Caenorhabditis elegans: one gene and its partner. The protein of the gene in region 1 interacts with the protein of each later gene in a pairwise test. Each region holds a gene or a part of one and is shown in the gene's direction. Other genes may lie near its edges. The genes, in order: uev-2 and brc-1.

What was found.
Region 2: the proteins of uev-2 (region 1) and brc-1 interact in a two-hybrid assay, tested with the Caenorhabditis elegans proteins (one study listed by BioGRID).

Annotation. Positions count from the first base shown.
Region 1 is NC_003281.10:5,578,843-5,588,856, forward strand, and holds uev-2 (UBC core domain-containing protein), read left to right. Parts: upstream 1-4,282; 5' UTR 4,283-4,298; coding exon 4,299-4,445; intron 4,446-4,552; coding exon 4,553-4,672; intron 4,673-4,713; coding exon 4,714-4,801; intron 4,802-4,893; coding exon 4,894-5,044; intron 5,045-5,184; coding exon 5,185-5,371; 3' UTR 5,372-5,680; downstream 5,681-10,014. Other genes in the region: F56D2.5 (RBR-type E3 ubiquitin transferase), read right to left, coding at 1-262, 498-596, 642-733, 781-894, 939-1,091, 1,459-1,737, 2,104-2,226; F56D2.8 (DUF4440 domain-containing protein), read right to left, coding at 3,046-3,093, 3,171-3,346, 3,392-3,569; F56D2.3 (DUF148 domain-containing protein), read left to right, coding at 6,220-6,342, 6,797-6,921, 7,067-7,271, 7,319-7,548, 7,763-7,943; F56D2.2 (RBR-type E3 ubiquitin transferase), read left to right, coding at 8,421-8,549, 8,604-8,882, 8,934-9,086, 9,135-9,248, 9,296-9,387, 9,436-9,534, 9,583-9,967.
Region 2 is NC_003281.10:3,857,230-3,868,413, reverse strand, and holds the start of brc-1 (Breast cancer type 1 susceptibility protein homolog), read left to right. Parts: upstream 1-5,455; coding exon 5,456-5,526; intron 5,527-5,579; coding exon 5,580-5,925; intron 5,926-6,381; coding exon 6,382-6,610; intron 6,611-6,659; coding exon 6,660-6,733; intron 6,734-6,795; coding exon 6,796-7,134; intron 7,135-9,192; coding exon 9,193-9,321; intron 9,322-9,368; coding exon 9,369-9,468; intron 9,469-9,977; coding exon 9,978-10,096; intron 10,097-11,184. Other genes in the region: rpl-3 (Large ribosomal subunit protein uL3), read right to left, coding at 187-551; acs-19 (Acetyl-coenzyme A synthetase), read right to left, coding at 1,584-2,412, 2,464-2,790, 2,849-2,964, 3,089-3,799, 3,850-3,909. UniProt on the Caenorhabditis elegans protein: E3 ubiquitin-protein ligase that specifically mediates the formation of polyubiquitin chains and plays a central role in DNA repair.

The DNA of each region.
Region 1 (10,014 bases):
CACTAAACATTTCGGACACTGCTTGCTGTTCTCCTCCAGCCATCCACGATTAAGGAATCGTTCCTCCAGAGCCTTCATGTTCTTCTCTCCATACCGTTTATACATTTCTTCTTTTCCTGCTTCATCTGCTTCATTCCATTCTTTCATTATTCTCTCCTCGTCTTCTTTTCTAAATTTACACCTTGAGACTCCATGGAACGTTCCTTTGCACAAATTGCAGAAAGAATAATTGCAATAGGAGCATTCAACAAGGTTGCGTTGGCTGAAAAAATGTTTTTGTGAACTTATCATACGCTCAAAAAAATCAAGTCTTTGAGAGTCATTGTGAGCAGAATTATGGGCACCCAAAGATTTTATACGAGAAATCCAGCGGGCTCAACAAATTTCAACACTCAAATTTCAAACCGACAATCACAGAGCTCCAGACACAAAGTTCAAGAAAAATTCACGAGTTCTGATAGTCTAATAGCAACACAACACATTTTTCTAAATTTTACCTGTCAGTTAGATAAGCCACCATTTGGCAATTTTCATTTGGACATTCCATTGAATCATCCATTTCTCGAATTGCTTTTTCTAGCATATGAGCTTCATACCTTTAAAAATTAATCAAATACTTGTCAATCTCCTAGGAATCTTACTTTGCAAACAGCTCCTCTCCTAGAGCCTCTTGCACCATACCCTGTTGGGCTTCATTTTCACATCCTTCTGCTAGACATGACATTGGTTTCGACTGAAAAATCCAATAAAAATATATCAGCTAAGAAAATTCAAACTAACCACAAACCCCTTGGCAATAGAAATATAATAGTTGAAAGTGCAGGATTTGCAGAAAACATGAGAACATGGCTGGAACTTTATGCAGTGCTGTCCCATTTGGGATTCGAAGCATACCTGGAAATTTTGATGAAAAATTAGAAAAAAAATACAAACGTTACTTGGCAATCGTAGAGGGTATTAACAAACTGTTCTTCAACAGCTTCCTCTTCTTTCTGTAGTATTTTCATTTTCAGAGATTCGATAGTCTCTCCTTGTCTGTTCAGTGCACATGCCTCGTTCAAATTTATAATTTTCGGAGTGTTCTGGGCCATCTGAAATTTGATAGTTGAAAAAGACGCCAGCTGCTTGAATCAAAGAACGTAGCAGTCGACATTCCGCAGAATTAAAAAAGTTAAATTCTGCATGAGATATCTAGATTTAAATTCGCTCAAAGGCATACCCGTGAGATGTCGGTCTTCTAATCAACATCCTACTTCTAATGAATATGTAATTTCTACTATCTGTGTAGACCGTTACATCTCAGAACGCTTTGCAGACGACATATCGCGGGTAGCCCATCTATGTCATTCAATAACGAACCAGCAAAATGTCGGCTGCAGTTAAATTTAGCAGAGGACACCTTACGTGTCTGAGATGTCGGCTCATAATGGTGCTTTTTATTTGATTCTCGCTACTCACCAAATCAATTATTGTCTGGTAGCACATAAAAAGCACCTCCATCATCTGGTTTTCCTCGCAAATCTTTGCCAACTCGGTTTCACAAGATGTCATTTGTTCCTGATTCATCCAATAACTTTCCAGTTCAAGTTTTGGTGATGATACGGTGGGATAATCATTTGGAAGATGGAATTTTAGTCGAATTGGAGGAAGAATGTCAAGAGGAAGATGAAATTGATCGCCGGAGTCAGATGTTCCTTCAATTGTGACTGTTGGATCGTATAAGTTGTCAAATCCGACCTGAAATTGCACTTGACTATTCTAAAACTCATTTAAAAAAACCAACTAACCAACTTTCAACCGTAACTTAGTGACTCTTCTAAAAAATACTTTACTCCATATATGGCCATATTAGTTTATCTCGTACAGGAAAATAGTCAACCGTGGCCAAAATTTCGGGCTAATGATTATGGAGGCTATTGAAATTTTCTATACTTTGTTACCTTAAATATTTTTGATAACTTACATAATTACGTAGAAAGTGTAGCTAAAATATAGTAAGGGTAGTTTCAGATAAATAATTTTTTGTTGTTATTTAGTGGACATTAAATTACTTTTTTAAAAGTTAAAATACCCCAGCTTCTCTCAAAAAACCAAAATCTTTACCTCAATAATTCCCTGGATTTCAGCATTCTTATCACTCCAATCACTGGATTTCGCCAGTTTCTTCTCTCTTAGAACACTTTCCAATGCTTCCAATTCATATATTTGCAGGTCACGATCAGTCATTTTTTATCGATTTTTAGACAAGAGACGCAGAGATTCAATAGACGGAGTTTAGGTAATTTAGAAATGAATGTTCAGGAATTTATAGAAAATATTTTACATTATTAGTCAAAAATGTTCAAACAATATATGAGGAAAGTTTGCGGAACAAAAATCAAAATTAATTACTAAAATATTGCGAAATATTGCAAAATTGTAATGAGTAAAATTGCGCAATGTGATAGATAACCTGTTGTGGAAACGATGAGAAATACAATTTGAAACTTTAAATTTAGAGTATTATCAGTGAGAAATTGTTCAACTTAAATTGTGTTTTTCTCTACGTGATGTGTACTTTAATTGCGTTTCAATTGTTTGTATTTAAACAATCGAAGAGTTCAAATTTGCAGCAATGCTTGAAATTGCCCCCAAAAGTTCAATTTTTCAATTTGCCAAACCTTTCACTAAAATTTTTGAAAAATGTATCTATCCATGTACCTTATTCTTCAGGAATTGATAAAATCTATCGATTCATAAAAAACTAAAGCTATTCCAACAGAATAGAAAAACACAATGTTCAAAAATGAAAGAATATTAAAATCATGTGAAAAGGGAAAACTTCCAGAAAGTCGACTCTTCTCGTTTACTGCGTTTTGTGAATATCTGAAAACTTTGTACGGATTTGTTACCATTTCTTCAATAGGCCGTGTATCATTCTGTCAATTTTTGGTGGATAGGTAAAATGTAACAGCCAATTTGATTTCTGAAAAGTTTTCGAAACATTTTTAAATATATTTAAAACATTTATTTAGGTCATACAAGTCCCGATATTCGAATATGAAACTACATCCAATCACTGAAGTGCACCATTGTCCAGCCTTTCCATTTGTTCTGCAAATTAAAATTTATCTACAAATCTATTCTGGTGATTGCGGCTGGATAAAATTTTAGTCCAACTCCCTGATTACCTCGTATTTTATCTTGAAAATAGTCGTTTTTTTGGACAAAAGGGGCGTGTTGGGGTAATATCTGACATTAATCTGAATGACTCCATACTCGTAGCGAACTCGTTCAATTATTCCGGTCGGATAAGATTCAAAAGATTTGATGATTCCCTGTGCCGCTTCAATCATGCCACTGACAGCTGAAAATAACTAAATTTCAAAATTGTTTCTGATATCGTACTTACGAAGCATATCATCCGGAGCAAAAAGATCCACTACTGCAACTGGGTCCCCTGATTTGATAGCTGCCTGGAACTTTTCGAAGAACTCCTTCGGTACGTTGGCATATTCTTCGGGGACTGGATCCAATGAAAAGACAATAGAAGCACTTGAAAGAGCTAGAAGAAAAATTGGAAGACGCATATTTTGGTTTGGCTACATGGCGAACTGAGCATTTTTATAGTTCGAAATGCTAATTCAATTAGAATGTGAAAATTGTCAATCAATGCGGAGGTTGATGTTTGGTGTCGTATTGATGATCATGATCATTTTGGGCATTTTGAAGACACCACATGGGTTCTGCCGCGTACGGTATCCGGTCTCGTCATGATAAATTTTAGCTGAATGAAAAAGCGTGTGCAGTGTGTGGCAGAGGAGTTGCGTCATTCCACGTTTAAAAGTGTGCCCAACATCAGATATACCTTTAATCCTCCAACCCGTCGGAATCAAGTAGCTCACACACACACACACACATACATAATCTGAGAGCACGTGTAGTTTTTGTTACATGCTCAATTCTAAAACAGAGGGCGCGAGAGAGAAAGAGGCCATCTCTAGGACAACGTACTAATGATAGAGAGACGGCATCCGCTTCTGTGTGATTATGTAGCTCTTTTTCTCTCGTACCTGCCTCTTCTTCAACTTGTGATATTATCCCACGTATTCATACTCTCTTCTTCACTTTTTGTTTGAAGCTTCTGGTTGCCTTAGGCCTCGTGGGATAATATGCAACGTTTTGTGCGCTTTAAGAATATATTCACTGTAGCTTTTTCAAATAAGATCCAGCTTAGGTTCAGTTAACGCGGCTCCGGAAGCTTCGTCACGAATTGGATTACTTTGACTTTCCAGATTAGAGCTTAAGCTTTCAGAAACATGCGAAGACGTAGCAACAGACAATATGTTGATCTCTCATATTTTCGCGAAACTGCCGATGCGCTATTATTCGACGTTGAAACCAATTCACGCGAATTCACCAATGAAATCAACACTGTGAAGGAGGAGAAAGCCAAGTGGGATGAGGTAAGCTTTCACACAAAGTTTAACTCGCCTGCCTACCTGGGACCTAGGCCTGATTTATGCCTACTTCAAAAGTGGGCGTGGCATGTGTCGAAATAACTTTTTTTCAGAGAACACCGCAAGGGTATACGGCAAAGCCAATTAGTTTTGAGGGCGCAGACATATGGTGTTCTTGGATATGTACAGTACCTGGACCGAGAGGAAGCCCCTGGGAGGGAGGGGAATATGAGGTTTAATTACTTTTTAGTTCGCAAAAGTATATTATCTCCAGGTTTCCGTGAACTTTCACAAATGGCCTATAATTCCGCCAATTTGTGAATTCAAAACGCCGCTTCATCATCCGAACGTGGACCTCAGAGGTTGGTTAGAACTGTTTCGAAAAAATATGTTTGAGTGTGAAATACAGAAAACGGTAGCAAAAAGAAACGCATTATTACAAAAATCTTTACAGGATCAATTTATCTTAAAATGCTGGAACAAGAGCACTGGTCTTCTGAAACTTCACTCAAGAAACTTCTGAGGGAAATCAGCAATCTACTTGCAACGCCCGATCTTACTCAAGCTGCAAATATTGAAGCCTGGATGGAATATGAGAATCAGCGGTTAGATATATTTTAACGGCGCACAGCTGCAAATGTGAACAAACTCGGCCACCTATTCTTCTAGGCCACTTCGATTTGGAGCTAAGCGTCGTTGAACAGAGAAAAGAGAACACTTAACTTTTAAAATTATCTTGTTCCAGTGAAAATTACGAGGCTAAAGCTCGAGCTTATGCTTGGACAGTTAACCCGAACGCCGTGGGATACATGGAAGTATCCGAGAATTCCGGAATTCAGAGGGAGACAGCAAAGGCTAAGTTGGCAGTGCAAAATGGTGCCATGGAATCGGACGAGGATGATGACGATCTACCAATTGACATCGAAAACTAATATTACACAAATTTTTATATTTTTGGTATTGGCCAACGTTTTCTGTTGAAGACCTTTTCCACTTTCTCAAAACTTTCTTGCCGACACTCTATGGAATTTTTCAGATTTTTCTCCAAAAAGGTGCCAATTTTCTATACACATTTATTTAAATCCCAATGCCCCTTTTTTGCAGCAAACTTACCTGACCTATGTGATAATTTTTCCCATTTTCCCTACTTTCCCGATCACACCAATTTTTCATTCTCTTTCCAAAACCATGTCTTTTTACGAAAAAAGTGATTATTGTACCAAATAAAGCTATTCCAAACTCGTTGAGTCGGGGTGTCCTCCCATTATCTCTTAATGAAATGGCAGAACAAGAATAAATCTACGTAGTCAACATTTGTAGGCAGGGAGGTATGCTTGACTAAGCTCCAGTCTACTAAGGATTTAAAAAACTCGGCCACCGATTTCTTGTTCTCGGCCACGTTGCAATGAACCGCAATGCCCTTCAAAAAGAGGTGATACTCGTGATTGCACGTCATTACCTCATCCCCAATGTCTATATTTACTTCTCCCGCACACCTTGTCAGATATCTGCACTGTTCATGGTGTGCTCATCGCCTCGCGGAGAGAGCTCTAACCCAAAAGTTTTAAACGTAAAAAGCCGGAAACGGTATAGGTTTATCGGTTCACCGAGAGCGCGCCTAGATCGTGTGGTACCGCCCCTCCTCGCCTCCCGTCAAAGGTCTCTATTTACTCCCAAACAGTGTGCTCTCGGAGCCTCCCGATCCCCCTCGCTGACCATTGTCCACTCCACTCGACCGTGCACAGTTGACTCCTTTTTTTGTACTAGTCGGTTGTTGGAAATGAAACGTATTCTTTTGATTTCTCTATTTTCGGCGGTTGTCAACGGCTTTTACTACAAGAGAACTTTATACGGAGATGCTAATGAGGGAGCTGCCATGCCAGACTATGTTAATGCTTATTATGTGAGTTTTCTTGGCTTGTAGGATTTTTAAGTGGCAGTTTCGGCAGAGATTTCACATCTAAAATATAGTTTTTGAGTTGTTTTGCAACAAGTCAGCCAAAAAATCGGTGGCCGAGTTTTTTGCTTTCCGCGGCCACGTAGCGAAAATCCCAAGGTTAATTATTACAAGGTCACAACCATTTCGGTATGTTGTGTAGATTTTTCTAATTGAAACTAGATCAGAACACAAACGCCTGCTTGCTTGCCTTCATTCACCTACGCTTGTATCAAGATTGTGCACATTGAAAGTAGGCGTGTAGACAGGCACGTAGGTACCAAGGACTGAAGATTTCATGAAAACAACACCAAACACCAGAGTCCAGCAAGAAAAAAAACCAAAAAATAATAGGCAAGCTTTCATGAAAACGAGTCTGCCTACCAAGCCTTATTGAAAATTCTGAACATTCATTTTCCAGGGTTTTCCAACAATCCCAACACAAGAGCCACGTCGGCGACCATCTTTCAACATGAATCCACCACAAGGATATTTTCATCGGGAGCATCCATTTGACTTTGGGCCATTTGGTTATATGAGAGCAAGGTAAGTTCCGGAATAGGTGGCCAAGTTTTATCTCCTCGCGGCCACTTAGTAAAAAACTGACCGTAGCGCCAGATTACAACGATAATCTATTCAAAACTCACTTTAGACGGTACCTTAGCAACAAATAATCTTGATTTTCCTTCAGAATTGGAGAAGCCAACTTCGGTGAGCCCATGGAGAAAACTGACCGCGAGCGAGCTATGGAACGGGCCAAACCGGGATTTTGGCGTCAAAACCAACGCGAAACCATGGATCGGATCAAGAAAATTATTGGAGAGCAGAGAATGAATATGGAGCAGAAGCAAATGCATATTCGAAGAGTTCTAGCAAATGAGAGTGATGAGATAAGGGTAAGAAGATAAATAATTTTTTCTCAACAAACACAAACATTTTTCAGTCCAAATTCGCTGATATTCACAAAAGACTGATCATGAAAAACAACAAGATGACCGTCTCCTCTCCAGTTCCAGAGCTTAGCAAACAGGCGAAGAAGCTTGAGAAAGAGGCCAAGAAAATTATGGAAAACAAGAAAATGAGTGTAGAGAAGAAGCAGGAGAAACTTGACAAACTTATGCTTAAGGCTCCAGAGAACGTTAAGAATGAGCTCAATGCTATGAACGATTCGGGGTGAGCATTGAGTTTTTCATGGTAGGCAAGACGCGCATGTAGGCAGGCGCAGGTTGCATGGGAGGCAGGAAGCAGGCGTTACATGGTATTCCTAAAAAGATTCCAATCCGTGTAACACTCTCGGAGAATTCAATCATATCAAAATTGATTGATGCTTAGTCGATTTTTGTGTTTCTCCTCTATTGCTCTCTTCGAAAAATCTCAAATCTTTCAGATCAACACCTGCCCCAATTCAAGCTCCATTCCCAGCTCCAGGACAAACCGAGGCTCTTAATCGGGCAAACCCATCAATGGCTTCTCAAGTTGAAGTAATGACTCGTAATGCACCAACTCAAGCAGTGGTTGAAGCTCGTCAAATCCGAGTTTCCGAAGATGGAAAAACTGTGGAAATTTAAATAATCTGTGCTCTATGAGCAATTCTTCTTTTTGTGTATTTTACGTCTAATTTTCTCAACTGCCCAACGTCTTTCCCTTGTGCTCCATCCCCAGAAACGACGAGCTATCTGACTGTATATACAAGTGATTTCAGCTCGGCGTTTGCTCACCTGCTCAGTTCGCCTTCTGTAAATATAACCTTAATCCATTCAAAATCGTTGTTATCAATCTCAGCATATCAATTGTTTATCAGTGTTATTTAAATAATAAATATATGGGATTTTCTGCGCTAATATATTAGAAAACTCGTATCTTTCCAATAAAAAGTGGAATTTGAACATCCACGCTTTGTTTCTGTCAGATGGAGCGCGTTTGGTGCATGTTTTTTCAGCGGTTTTTTTGCCCTTTTAAAAAAGTCTAGATTTCTAAACATTTTGAACGCGATACCAGTTTTTCTTGTTCTAGTTTGTGTTAAAATAATTTCTACTAAATTTCAGATGTCAGACGACAGCCGTGAAACTCAGTTATTCGAGCTAGAAGCACTGGAGAGTGTGCTAAGGGAGAATAAATTGACGAGAATCAGTGATTGGGCGGATAAAAATGCAGAAATTCGGGGAATAATTGAAGTAGAATATTGAGCGTATAAAGAAGTTTATTATTAAATTTTTTCTTGATTTCAGGTAGGATTTGACACATTATCCGATCCAAAAGTCACAATTGAAGGAACGTCTGACTCCAGCGATCATTTTTCCATCCCCCTAGACATTCTTCCACCAATCCGATTGAAATTTCATCTTCCAAATGATTATCCCTCAGTATCATCACCAAAACTTGAACTGGAAAGTTATTGGATGAATCAGGAACAAATGACATCTTGTGAAACCGAGTTGGCAAGGATTTGCGAGGAAAACCAGATGATGGAGGTGCTTTTTATGTGCTATCAAACGATAATTGATTCGGTTAGTTTTTTGTTCTTTTTAACAAATTAAATATATAAAAATAAGTTTCAGATAGACCAATCTCACCTAAAAATCATCAATCTGAACGAGGCGTGTGCGCTGAAAAACAATGGAGAAACTATTGAATCGCTGAAAAAGAAAATTCTTGGAAAAGGCGAAGAAGCTGCTGAAGAGCACTTTGTCAATACACTTTTCGATTGTGAAGTAATTTTTTCGTAGTTATAAAATTATACTATTTTTTCAATCTTCCAGGTATGCTACGACTCTCAAATGGGCCAACATTGCATCAAATTCCAGCCGTGCTCTCACGTTTTCTGCAAACAATGTACTTTCGATTATTATCGTACAATATCGAAAGGTGTTGTGGTAAGATCCAATCGATTTTTTTTTTGGAAAAATTGGATCATTTACAGTCAAAAGCCATGCAGTGTCTAGCAGAAGGATGCAAGAGTGAAGCACAACAAAATACGGTTAAGGAGGCACTCGGAGATGATTTATATGCAAAGTGAGATACATTTCCAAAAAAAAAAATCCAAATTTGAATTTCCGCCAGATACGAGACGATTATGCTGGAGAAGGCGATTCGAGAGATGGAAGACACCGTGGAGTGTCCCAGAGAGAATTGTCAAAAAGTCGCCTACGTCACGGATAGGTATAGTTTAAAATATAAAAATAAATGTAAAAAAGAAGAACATTTCAGACAACGCTTCCTGGCCGAATGCTCCTACTGTAACTTTTCGTTCTGCAATCTGTGTAAGCAGACATTCCACGGAATAGAACGCTGCAAATGGAAGAAAGGAGACAAAGAGCTTCTTGTCAAAAGATGGAAGGATGGAGATGAAGCTGAGAAGGCTGAAATGTGCAGGCAATTTGGAGGAGAGAAGCGTGTCGAGGAGCTTGTGGAGCGGTTCCTCAATGAGGAATGGCTGGATTCGAACAGCAAACCGTGTCCCAAGTGCTCGGTGAGCATAGAGAAGAATGAAGGATGCCACAAGATGCACTGTACGAAGTGTGACACCTACTTCTGTTGGTTGTGCTCTGAAACTCTTGACAAGGAAGATCCTTATAAGCATTTTCAGGGAGATGTTGGTTTTTTCTTAGAATTGTGTAAGAAATGTATTTTTCATTTTCA
Region 2 (11,184 bases), 1.7 Mb from region 1:
TTTCAGCGTACAGGACGCTTTAGCCACTCAGTTCGTTTACCATCATGTACATAAGTACAGCGGAAGGCAACCGACTTAGAAACGCGACTGCAAATACAGACTTGTAATCACGAAACCACCAAATGACACCAAAAACGCACCATAACACTGAATACAAAAAACGAAATAGTTGAAAAATAAACTAACCAGTTGCTGTAGAAGCGACGACGAGCTTCCTCGGACAAGTGCTCGGCCCAGATGGTGGTAAGAGCACGTGGTCCTTGTGGGGTGTCGACGTATCCGGTAACTCCAGCAATAACCATTGGTGGGGTCTCGACGATGGTGACGGCTTCGACAACCTCCTTCTTGTTAACCTTTGATCCTGGCTTATCGACATCACGGACGATATGGGTCATACCGGCCTTGTATCCGAGGAAAGCGGTCAAATGGATTGGCTTGCTCTTGTCATCCTTTGGGAAAGCCTTGATTCTTCCACGGTAAGTGCGGGAGCGCTTCTTTGGGGTGAATCCCATGTGTCCATGTCTCGGGGCCGAAAACTTTCGGTGAGACATTGTTGTACCCTGAAAAATATTAATTTTACGAAAAAATTATAGAAAAAGCATGAGCGAACAAAGAATAAAAATTGCGTTTTCGGTTAAAAAATTTTTTAAATAACTACTTTTCTAGACAGATACTAATTTGAACATTTTAAATTTAGAATTGCACGTAAAAAAACAAAATTTATTCGAAAAAAACATGAAAATTTTAGGCTAAAACAAATTGAAATGAAGTTTAGGCCAGTGAAAGGCGTTGGGAGACCCACACACTCGGCGCACACTTGTGCGTCGCAAAACACGCTTTTACCGTAGCTGTGGCGGCGGAGTGTACAAGTGTACGACAAGCGCGGTTGTTTGAATTCGATTTCTTTCGCAGTTGGAGAGATTCTGCAAATAATAATGTTTTTAAATACATTGTTTTTTAACGGGAAATATTCATGTAAATCAAGTTTTATTTTGAAGCATCATTATATAATCAAGAAAATCGATTTGCTTTGTTCAAACGGCCTATCAAAACAACACACTTTATGCTTAAAATAATTCATTTTCCTGTAATTTTGCAATGCAAGTTAAATCAAATATTATTTTGTATTGAACTTTCGTGGTTTTTATCATAATTCATAAAAATTGAGCTAAACATCAGATTCACTGGGCATATGAAATGCATTTCTCCATGTAAGTATTTAATCTTCTTCTTGTAATTTCATGTTTCGTGTTTTAATTATCCGAATAAGCCAAAATTGTTATCTGAAAATCTGAAATTGAGTTAAAACAATTAATCAGTTCTGAATCATTTACTTGTTTTCTAATTTCGAATTCAGGGTTCAATAAATTACTGGGGGAAATTACAACACTGGAATTTAATTCTACACAGGAGTCAATCAGGGAATGCATCTTGATTACAAAGAAGGTCATGTTGGGGTTAAAAGTTTAGATCTTGCATTGATTCTGCAGAAATTACAACGATAGAGGGGGAAAAGAGAAGTAATACAGAAAAAGTAACATTAATAGTAAGAATTGAATTGATTTACAATTGTTCAAGTTCGTTTATGCACGTGCAGAACGTCCAGAGATTAGTTGTTTGATGACAGATTCGTCGACTAGAGTAGTAGTATCACCGATTCCACTTTCGGATCCTTCAGCAATCTTTCTCAAGATTCTTCTGGTAACCTTGCCGGAACGAGTTTTTGGAAGTCCTGGAGCTTCTTGGATAACATCTGGAACAGCCAATGCACCAATTTTCTCGCGAACTAGTTTCTTGAGCTCAGCCACAAGCTTTTCATTGATTCTCTCTCCAACATTCAAAGTGACGAATGCGTATGGGAAGGATCCCTTGATGTCATGTGGAGCAGCAACAACGGCAGCTTCAGCAACTTTCTCATGAGCCACAAGAGCTGATTCAATTTCAGCAGTAGACAGAAGATGACCACTGACATTCATCAAATCATCAACACGTCCAGTTATCCACAAGTATCCATCTTCATCACGTCTGGCACCATCTCCAGTGAAATAGTATCCATTGAATGGAGCCAAATAGGTCTTGACAAAGCGTTGCTCATCTCCATAGATTCCACGCATCATTCCAGGCCAGGCACGATCAAAGCATAGTGATCCTTCTCCCGGACCTTCAATAACACGACCTTCAGCATCCAAAAGAACTGGAGATGCTCCGAAGAATGGCATTGCAGCTGCTCCTGGCTTCATTGGAGTTGCTCCTGGAAGGCATGTGATCATGTGTCCTCCAGTTTCAGTTTGCCAGTAAGTATCCACAATGGATACATTGGAAAGTCCAACTTGCTTGTACAACCACATCCATGCAGCAGGATTGATGGGCTCTCCAACTGTTCCGATAACCTTGAGAGTTTTGCGAGAAGAGCTGAAAATTAAAAATAAAGATGCTGAACAATTATTTTTGAATAATTATTACCTTTCAAGCCACTGATTTCCGAGAGCCATAAGAGCTCTTGCGGCTGTTGGTGAGGTATACAGCTTGGTCACACCATACTTATCAGTGACATCCCACATTCTAGAAGGAGTCGGATAAGTCGGCACACCTTCATACCAAATTCCCTTGAGCCCATTCATCAAAGGTCCATAAAGAAGGTACGAGTGTCCGGTGATCCATCCACAATCGGCAGTACACCAGTAAACATCGTCTTCTTGTGCATCAAAAGTGTATTTTGTGGTTGCGTAGGCGTACGTCATGTATCCAGCTGTAGTGTGTTGAATACCTTTCGGTTTTCCGGTTGAGCCACTGAAAATTAACAATTTGAATTAAATGAGAAATAAGTAAATTCTAATTCTGAACTAACGATGTGTAGAGAATAAATAGCGGATCTTCAGAATCCATCCATTCTACCGGGGAATCCACGCCTGCACACTTGAGCATCTCCGAATCGTAGATGACGGTGATATCGGTGTAATCGACCTGAAAAATGTTTTTTGTTGTAATTTTAAATGAAAAATCAATAAAACTTAATTTTTTTCTGGTTTTTCTGAATTTGAGACTACTTTGAGCATTTTAGAGCATTAAATTTATTATATTTAGTTACCTTGGGAAGTTCCACTCCATCAGGCTTCGTGACTCGTTTTAAGTGTTCCACCATAATGATAGCTTCCACTTTGACATCTTCCTGCGATGCGAGAACGGCAGCTGCATCCGCAATTGACTTGAGCCCAATTGGTTTAGCTCCTCGAAAAACTCCGTCCGCCGTAACCAAAACTCTGCAGCGAGCGTCGACAACACGAGCGGCAAGTGATTCGGCAGAGAAACCAGCGAAAACAACAGAATGCATTGCTCCGATACGGGCACACGCAAGCATTGCAACTGCTAATTCGGGAATCATTGGAAGATATAAAGCAACCACATCGCCTCGTTTGACGCCATGAGATCTCAGAACAGCGGAGAATTGGACTACTTGGGCGTGTAGCTCGTTGTATGTCCAGGTGGAGGTGTCGGTTGGCTCGTTTCCTTCGAAAATGTAGGCGATTTTGTTTCCATATCCACGTTTAATGTTTCTTTCCAAACAGTTGTACGAGATGTTAGTCTTGGCTCCATCCATAAACTTGACGAAGACATTTCCAGCTTTCGAGTCGAAATTCCATTCGAGACCCTTAGAGGTTCCTTGTTCGAAATGGAGTTCAGATGAGACGGTACGCCAGAACTCGTCAGCATCGTTGATCGAGGAACGGTACAAATCGTGGTAAGATTGAAGGCCAGCACAGTGAGCACCGGCAAGGAGTGGGGCTGGAGGGAGGAAAATCTGAAATCTATTGGTTTTAAAAGTATTCTTTCGAAGAAATAAATTCTTACATCCTCGTCGAGACCTTCTCCATCGTTGGCTAGGTTGAACTTGACGCGAACGTCCGACATGATGAGATGCAATAACCTGAAAATGAGGCACTTTATGATAAGAAAATGCGGTAAAACATGCGAAATATGGCACCATAAACCGTGAGCAGGACAAAGAACAAACACTTGGAAAAGAAAAGAAAATAGAAAGAAAAAAAGGAAAACTGGAGAAAACAAACTCAATAACACAACGCGAGAAATACAATTTCGTTTCGTTTTTTCTTCTATTTATTAGATTTCTCACAATTTGTTACCAGTAAAGTCACGTTCTATATTTCAAACTACTCCTAAAATTCGGTTTGAACAGTTCTCTGATAAACGAATTTCGAAGAACGATCAGAAAACAAATCTACGGTTGTGTGTGATCAATGGGGTCAAACGGTGGACGAAAGGGGACGGCGGAGAGAGGAAAAAGTGAGAGAAAATAAATAAAATTGACCTTCGAGTGCAGAGTTTTGCTGGTATTTTGGTCAGAATTGATTATGAAAATCTGAAAATTACCGCCGGGAAAGTTGAAAATTTGACGTGGAAACGTTTAAAAAAATAAGATGAGAAAGTTAGTACTGTAGATGTCGTCGGATCAAGTGCACAGTACGCAAGCACCGTTACGAAAAATTGCACTAATTGCTCAATTAAATTTTTTTAAAAAATTAATTTTTATAGTGTGTTTTGTGTTTTTTTTCTGCTTTTTTAATGATTTTTAAAGGCTTGATTATGTTTTTTTCTCAAAATTTGAATAATCAATAACATTAATTAATTACTTTATTAAAAAACCACATTTGGCATTTTAATAAAGCAAGTTATCGCGACAAACGGCAAAAATGTCTCTTTTTATAAAAATTGTTTTTTTTTGAGTTAAGAGAAGATGTGGAGTTTTTTGAACTACATTAGTTTTCTAAAAATTTTATCATCTAGATTTTGAGGAAAAAAGCAGATTATATATCTTTAATCTTGGTTTTAAAATTTTTTTAAAAAGCAGAATATTAAAGTAAAATATTATAAAAAGAAAAATTCGTGTTTGCAAAATTTGTTTGAACGGAACCTTGCAAAAATGATATTTAGCAGCTAAACTAACTGAAAACTACTGCATAAAGCTTTCCCAAAAAGAGCTACCATCCAGAAAATGTTTTTTTTTTCAAAGCCGAAAAAGAAGAAAAAAAGATAGAAAACCGAAAAAGCAGCATCGTTTTCGCGCACTCTTTCTTCTTTTTTTCTTTCTTTTTCTAAAAAAAAATATTCTCCGTAGCTTGAAGTCTCAGGATTTCCAAAGGGAATTTCCTTGATAGAATATGGAAAAACAAGAGAGTCATCAGAGAAGGGAGAGGAAAAGCGGGGATGCTGGCGAAGACCGGGGGCACCGACTGAAATATAGGCACCGGCGGGGAGGCGGGGCGCTCTCTCCTCTCCGCTTTACTCCGCCCCGATTGTCAGTGGAGCAGGTTTGCAATGAGTGTTCTCTGATGCCCCCTCAGCGCGGGAGTTTTGAAATCAAATATTTTGTATTTTAACCTACTTTATTGATTTTTCAATTAAAATGAAATGTTATTTGTTTAAAATTTAATTTCAGATGGCAGATGTTGCACTGAGGATCACAGAAACAGTGGCACGACTGCAAAAAGAACTGAAATGTGGAATTTGGTAATTTATTTTCAAAAAATCAACAAAAAAACCTTAAATTGGTTTTTTTTCAGCTGTTCAACATACAAAGATCCAATTCTGTCCACATGTTTCCATATTTTCTGTCGTTCTTGCATTAACGCTTGCTTCGAACGAAAACGAAAAGTTCAATGCCCAATTTGTAGAAGTGTACTGGATAAGCGAAGTTGTCGAGATACTTATCAAATTACAATGGCTGTGCAGAACTATTTAAAGCTATCAGAAGCATTTAAAAAAGATATTGAGAATATGAATACGTTCAAGTCACTGCCGCCAGAGAAAATGTTCATGGAAAGTCAAATGCCGCTGGATATCACGATTATTCCAGAGAATGATGGAAAACGATGCGCTCCAGATTTTGCTATACCTTTTTTGCCAGTGGTATGCTTTTTGGCACAAAAAACCAATTAAAACCAAAAGAAAATCACTAAAAATATTTCTAAAATGTCAAATAAAAACATTTTTCACCTTTTTTTGTGTCGTATAGCGATTAAATCAATTTTTAATAATTTTATTACACACTTTTTTCATCGATTTGCTAATTTCTGACTGAAAATCATAGCGGACTGCGAAAAAATTTCGTCAAAAACACGAAAAAAGCAGAAAAGAAATATTTTTTACTTTTTTTTTGTTTGGAAAACTGGACTCTATAGTTACATTTTCTAGTGTATTTTTTTGGGAAAAAAAATTAAAAATGCAATACAAATTGCTAATTAGCTAAATAGTTGAAAAATTTTGAGTTTTTGCATAATTTAGTCCGTTTTTCGAAGTTATCATTAAAAAATTCGGCCTTTTTGGGCTATTTTGACTCTATTAACATTAAATCTGTATTTTCAGCGCCGAAAGCGACCGAGTCGACCACAACCGCCGAGCGCATTCGCCGAGGAGCCTGCAGAACCGGTAGAACCGCCAGAACCAGCCACAAAACAACCTGTAGAGCTCCAAAGTCGAGTATTCCCGCTGGAAAAATTGAAAAAAGACGTGGAAACCTCTACAGAAACGTATAAAATATCAAGAGAAGAACTGAAAAATGTTGATATTGAAGAATACATAAATACCCTCCGAGGTTGGTCAAAAATCAAAAAAAAATTCGCTAATTTTTGCCAATTTTCCAGAAAATTCGACAGAGATTGATGAAATCGATGCACTTTTCCAATTAATGCCGACGATGCGACAATTTCTTCGAAATGTTTGTGATGATTCGGGCTTATTTAGAGGAAAATAATTTTTGAAATAAAATATTTTTTGCAGAATATCAATCAGCTAATGGAGAAATTCCATGTGGCGCCACCGAAAAAATCAGAGAAACCAGCGAATCGAAGAGTATCCTTTGCGAGTTCTCAAGATCTTGAAAACATAAAAATTATGACAGCTTCTGAATCGCTGGAAACTCCTCCTGAGCCAATCCAAAAACTAGCCCAAAAGCCTGAAGTTTTCAAAAGTACTCAAAATTTGATCGATTTGAATCTAAATACTGCAGTGAAAAAGCCAGTGGTCGTAGCATCAGATGATGATGAAGTTGTAGAAGATTCTGAAGGAGAACTACAAATTGATGAAGATGATCTGGCAAATGTTACCTGTGCTACAAGTGTAAGAAATATAGGAAAATCATTGTGTGCAGAATATATCAGGGGTGTGCGGCAAATTTGCCGAATTTGTCGTTTGCCGAGCTCGGCAAATTTCAAAAAAGTTGATTTGCCGAATTTGCCGAGCTCGGCAAATTTCGAAATTTGCCGCACACGTCAAAAATTTGACAGTACAATTTCGACTAAAACTACTGATTTTTTCGCCAAAAATTCAGTAAAATGACACAAAATTGAGTTATTTTGATGCTTAAGCAGACATACTACACGGAACTGATTCCGAAGCCAGATGTGTGTTAAGAATTCGGTAGTTTTGGTGGTCCAAAAACATCAAAAAATATCAAAAATTTCCGAGTTTGTTAAGCACGGCAAATTTGCCGAATTTGCCGAATTAGCCGAGCTCGGCAAATTTGCCGAATTTGCCGTGCTCGGCAAATATTGAACAAAGAGATTTGCCGAATTTGCCGAGCTCGGCAAATTTTGCGATTTGCCGCACACCCCTGGAATATATGGTTTTCAACAGAAAAATTCAATTTTAATTTTAAAAAAAGTTGAATTGTTTTATAAAAAAGTGCTGAACCCGAAAAAAAAACATAATTTTGAGAAAATGCAAATATTTTTTCATTCAAAATTTCCATTTTTGTTATAATTTCGAGCATAACTTTAAAGAAAAAATTTGAAAATAAATTTTTAAGCAATTTTTTTTTAAATATCAGGTTGTCCCATAAGTTTTTGTACTTTTTTTCAAATATTTTTCCAAAACTTCTAGAAAGTTTTAAAATTTTTTCATCGTAGGTCGTGTCAAGGTCGGGTCGTCCCCTTTCAGAAAAGATTCATTTCATCCATTTCTACTTTGCCACGATGACAATCATCAAACTTGAACGTCGAGACGTTAGATTGCTTCTTCTTTATGAATTTCGTCTTGGTCATTCAGCAATGGAAGCGGAACGAAACATATGCGGTGCGATGGGTGAGGGAGCACTCTCTTATAATACAGCAAAGAGTTGGTTTCAAAAGTTCAAGAACGGCGACTTCAGTCTCGAAGAAATAGAACGTTCTGGGCGACCGGTAGAGTTAAATGAAGAAGACCTAGTGAAGCTGGTGGAGGAAGAGCCTCGTCTTAGTCTTCGTGAAATGGAAGAGAAGCTTGAGTGTTGTCATAGCACAATTGCACGTCACTTGGGTCGCCTTGGTTTTACTTCAAAACTTGGAATTTGGGTGCCTCATGAACTTTCGGCATCACAGAAGCTCACTCGGGTCAACGTTTGTACTCAACTTCTAACTTTTCGTCGAAAGTTCGATTGGCTGAACAATCTGGTTACTGGAGATGAGAAGTGGGTGCTCTATGTTAACCATTCCAGAAAACGTCAATGGCTTCCGATCGGTGAGAAAGGAATACCGACGCCAAAGCCTGATCTTCACCCAAAAAAGATTATGATCTGTGTCTGGTGGGGTGTTCAAGGACCCGTGCACTGGGAATTGTTGCCAACTAATAAAACTATCACTGCTGATTACTATTGTGCCCAATTGGACCGAGTTGCAGAAAAGACCAACGGAAAATATGAAAAACTATATTTTCTTCACGATAATGCTAGGCCTCATGTCGCCAAGAAGACTTTCCAAAAGCTGCAAGATCTTGGTTGGACTGTTTTACCGCATCCACCATATTCTCCAGATCTTGCACCAACCGACTACCATTTGTTCTTGTCTCTCAGTGACTACATGCGCGACAAGCAATTCGACGACGAAGAGCATCTCAAAACTGAACTCTCCACTTTCTTCTCATCGCGTTCGCCGGATTTCTTCTCCCGTGGCATCATGATGTTACCTAGTAAATGGCAACAAGTGGTGGACACTAATGGTGAATACTTGTGTGAATAGTACTACTTGTCGCTTGAGAGAAATAAATTTTTTTCAAAAAAAAAATAGTACAAAAACTTATGGGACAACCTGATAGAAAAATCGAAATATTATTGGAGATATCGGAAAAACTAAAAATAATAATTAAAACAAAAACAAAAATATTCCAATTTTGAAAAAAAGCCAAATAAAAATTATTTTTCAGTCAACTACCCTTGACGCCGACCGTACACCGAAAGCAATTCAAGATGACGAAGATCGAATCGACGATGAGTTGTCACAAGTACCAAAAACAATTGTTTGCTCGAGAATTCATAATGATGCGGACGAAGTAGTGGGACTGGTGGATGTTTGAAATTCAAACATTTTCTTATTTTTCAGGAACTTCTCAGCGATTTCTATCACAAATTCTTGTCAAATGCGTGCCGATTTGCGGAGGATGTGAATGAGCACACGACTCATTTGGTGATGATGAATAGTGGTTCGTTAAAACTGTGAAATTTGGAGGAAGACTTTTTTCTTAGAGATATTGTTCTCAAAAATAATCTGTGAAAAAAATTTAAAAAAAACCATGATTTTACCAAATTTTTGCAAACGGCAGAATAAAAAATCGAACCATTTTGCAGAAAAATGGTTTTTTTAACGCTTTTTAAAAAATCCAAAAATTGAGAATTTTAGATTTTTAAAATGATGCAATTTTTTGGTTTTTTTCCCAGATATATTCGAAAAACCGAAAATTAAATTTACAAAAAAGAGAAACAACGGTTTCATAAAATTTTGTACATTTTCTTCCAAAAATTAAAAAAAATTGCCAAAATTTTAAGCTATTAAAAAAATCTAAGTGTGCTCAAAATATCGGAAATTCGAAAAAACAAAATTCTCGTTTTTCGATTTTCCGCGCGAAATTTTAAAATAAGTTGGATTTTTTCATCGAGAAAAACCTATTTAAAACCGATTTTTAGTTCAAAATAATTTTTAACTAATTTTCAGAAGGCCGTTCAATTTCTCAAAAATCCACAGCATATCTCTATGCAATTGCTCGAAAATGCGTTATTGTAGGACGTCAATGGCTTGTAGATTGTATAACAACGGGTCTTTTACTGTCTGAGGTAATATTTTAATTTTTGTGTTTCATTTTAATTTCCGCTTTAAAAAAATGTTCCGATGAGATGGTCTGATACAAAAAGTGGTGAATTCTGTTGATAAATGTGTGCGATCTCTGGTCGAATTCTTTCAAAATTCACATGAAAATGAGTTTATCAGAGCAGAGTACACACACACCCAACATGCTTGTGATTTTGAAAATTATCGGAATTAATGTTCATTGAAATTGTTTATTTATTTTGGGTGTTTTTTGAGATTGTGCATAATTCGAAAAACGATCAGATTTAAAATGAAATTGAAAGGTTTTAATATGGGGTGAGCAGGGACAAAATATGGAAAATGTTGGAAATATGGGGTGAGCACGGGGGAATTACACTGCAACTTTTTTCGAACGAGGGACGAGGCAAAAAGGTTTCTAGGCCATGGCCGAGTCCCCGACAAGTTTCAGCGGCCATTTATGTTGCTTTGTTTTCCGCGTGTTTTCTTTCGTTTTTCACCAATTTTCCCCATTTTTTCTTATTAATACTAATAAATAAATATTTTTTGCAGATGCTAAAACAATTTCCAAGTGAAAAAATTGTGTATTGAGTCTGTAAGTAGCGGTGAAAGTGGTCAATGCAATATGATGGATTACGGGAATAAAAAACCCAAACTTTTTCCCACACATGCTGCTCTGATGCTGAAACTACCTGATTTTCATAACGAGATCACTGAAAAAGTTTTGAGGTTTTCAAAATTCAACTTTTTTGGTGAAAAAGTAGAGATTTTCGCATAAAAAGTTGAATTTTGAAAACCTCAAAACTTTTTCAGCGGTCTCGTTATGAAAATCAGGTACTTTTAGCATCTAAACATCTATGTATCATGTTTGGGGAAAAGTTTGGGTTTTGTATTCCCGTAATCCATCATATTACATTGACCACTTTCACCACTACTTGCCGACTGAATACATATTTTTTTCATCTGGAAATTATTTTAGCATTAGGAAAAAATATTTATTTATCAGTTTTAATAAGAAAACACGGGAAAAATTGGTGAAAAACAAGAGAAAACAAACACGGGGAGGCAAAGCTAACGTGGCTGAAGAAATTTCTAC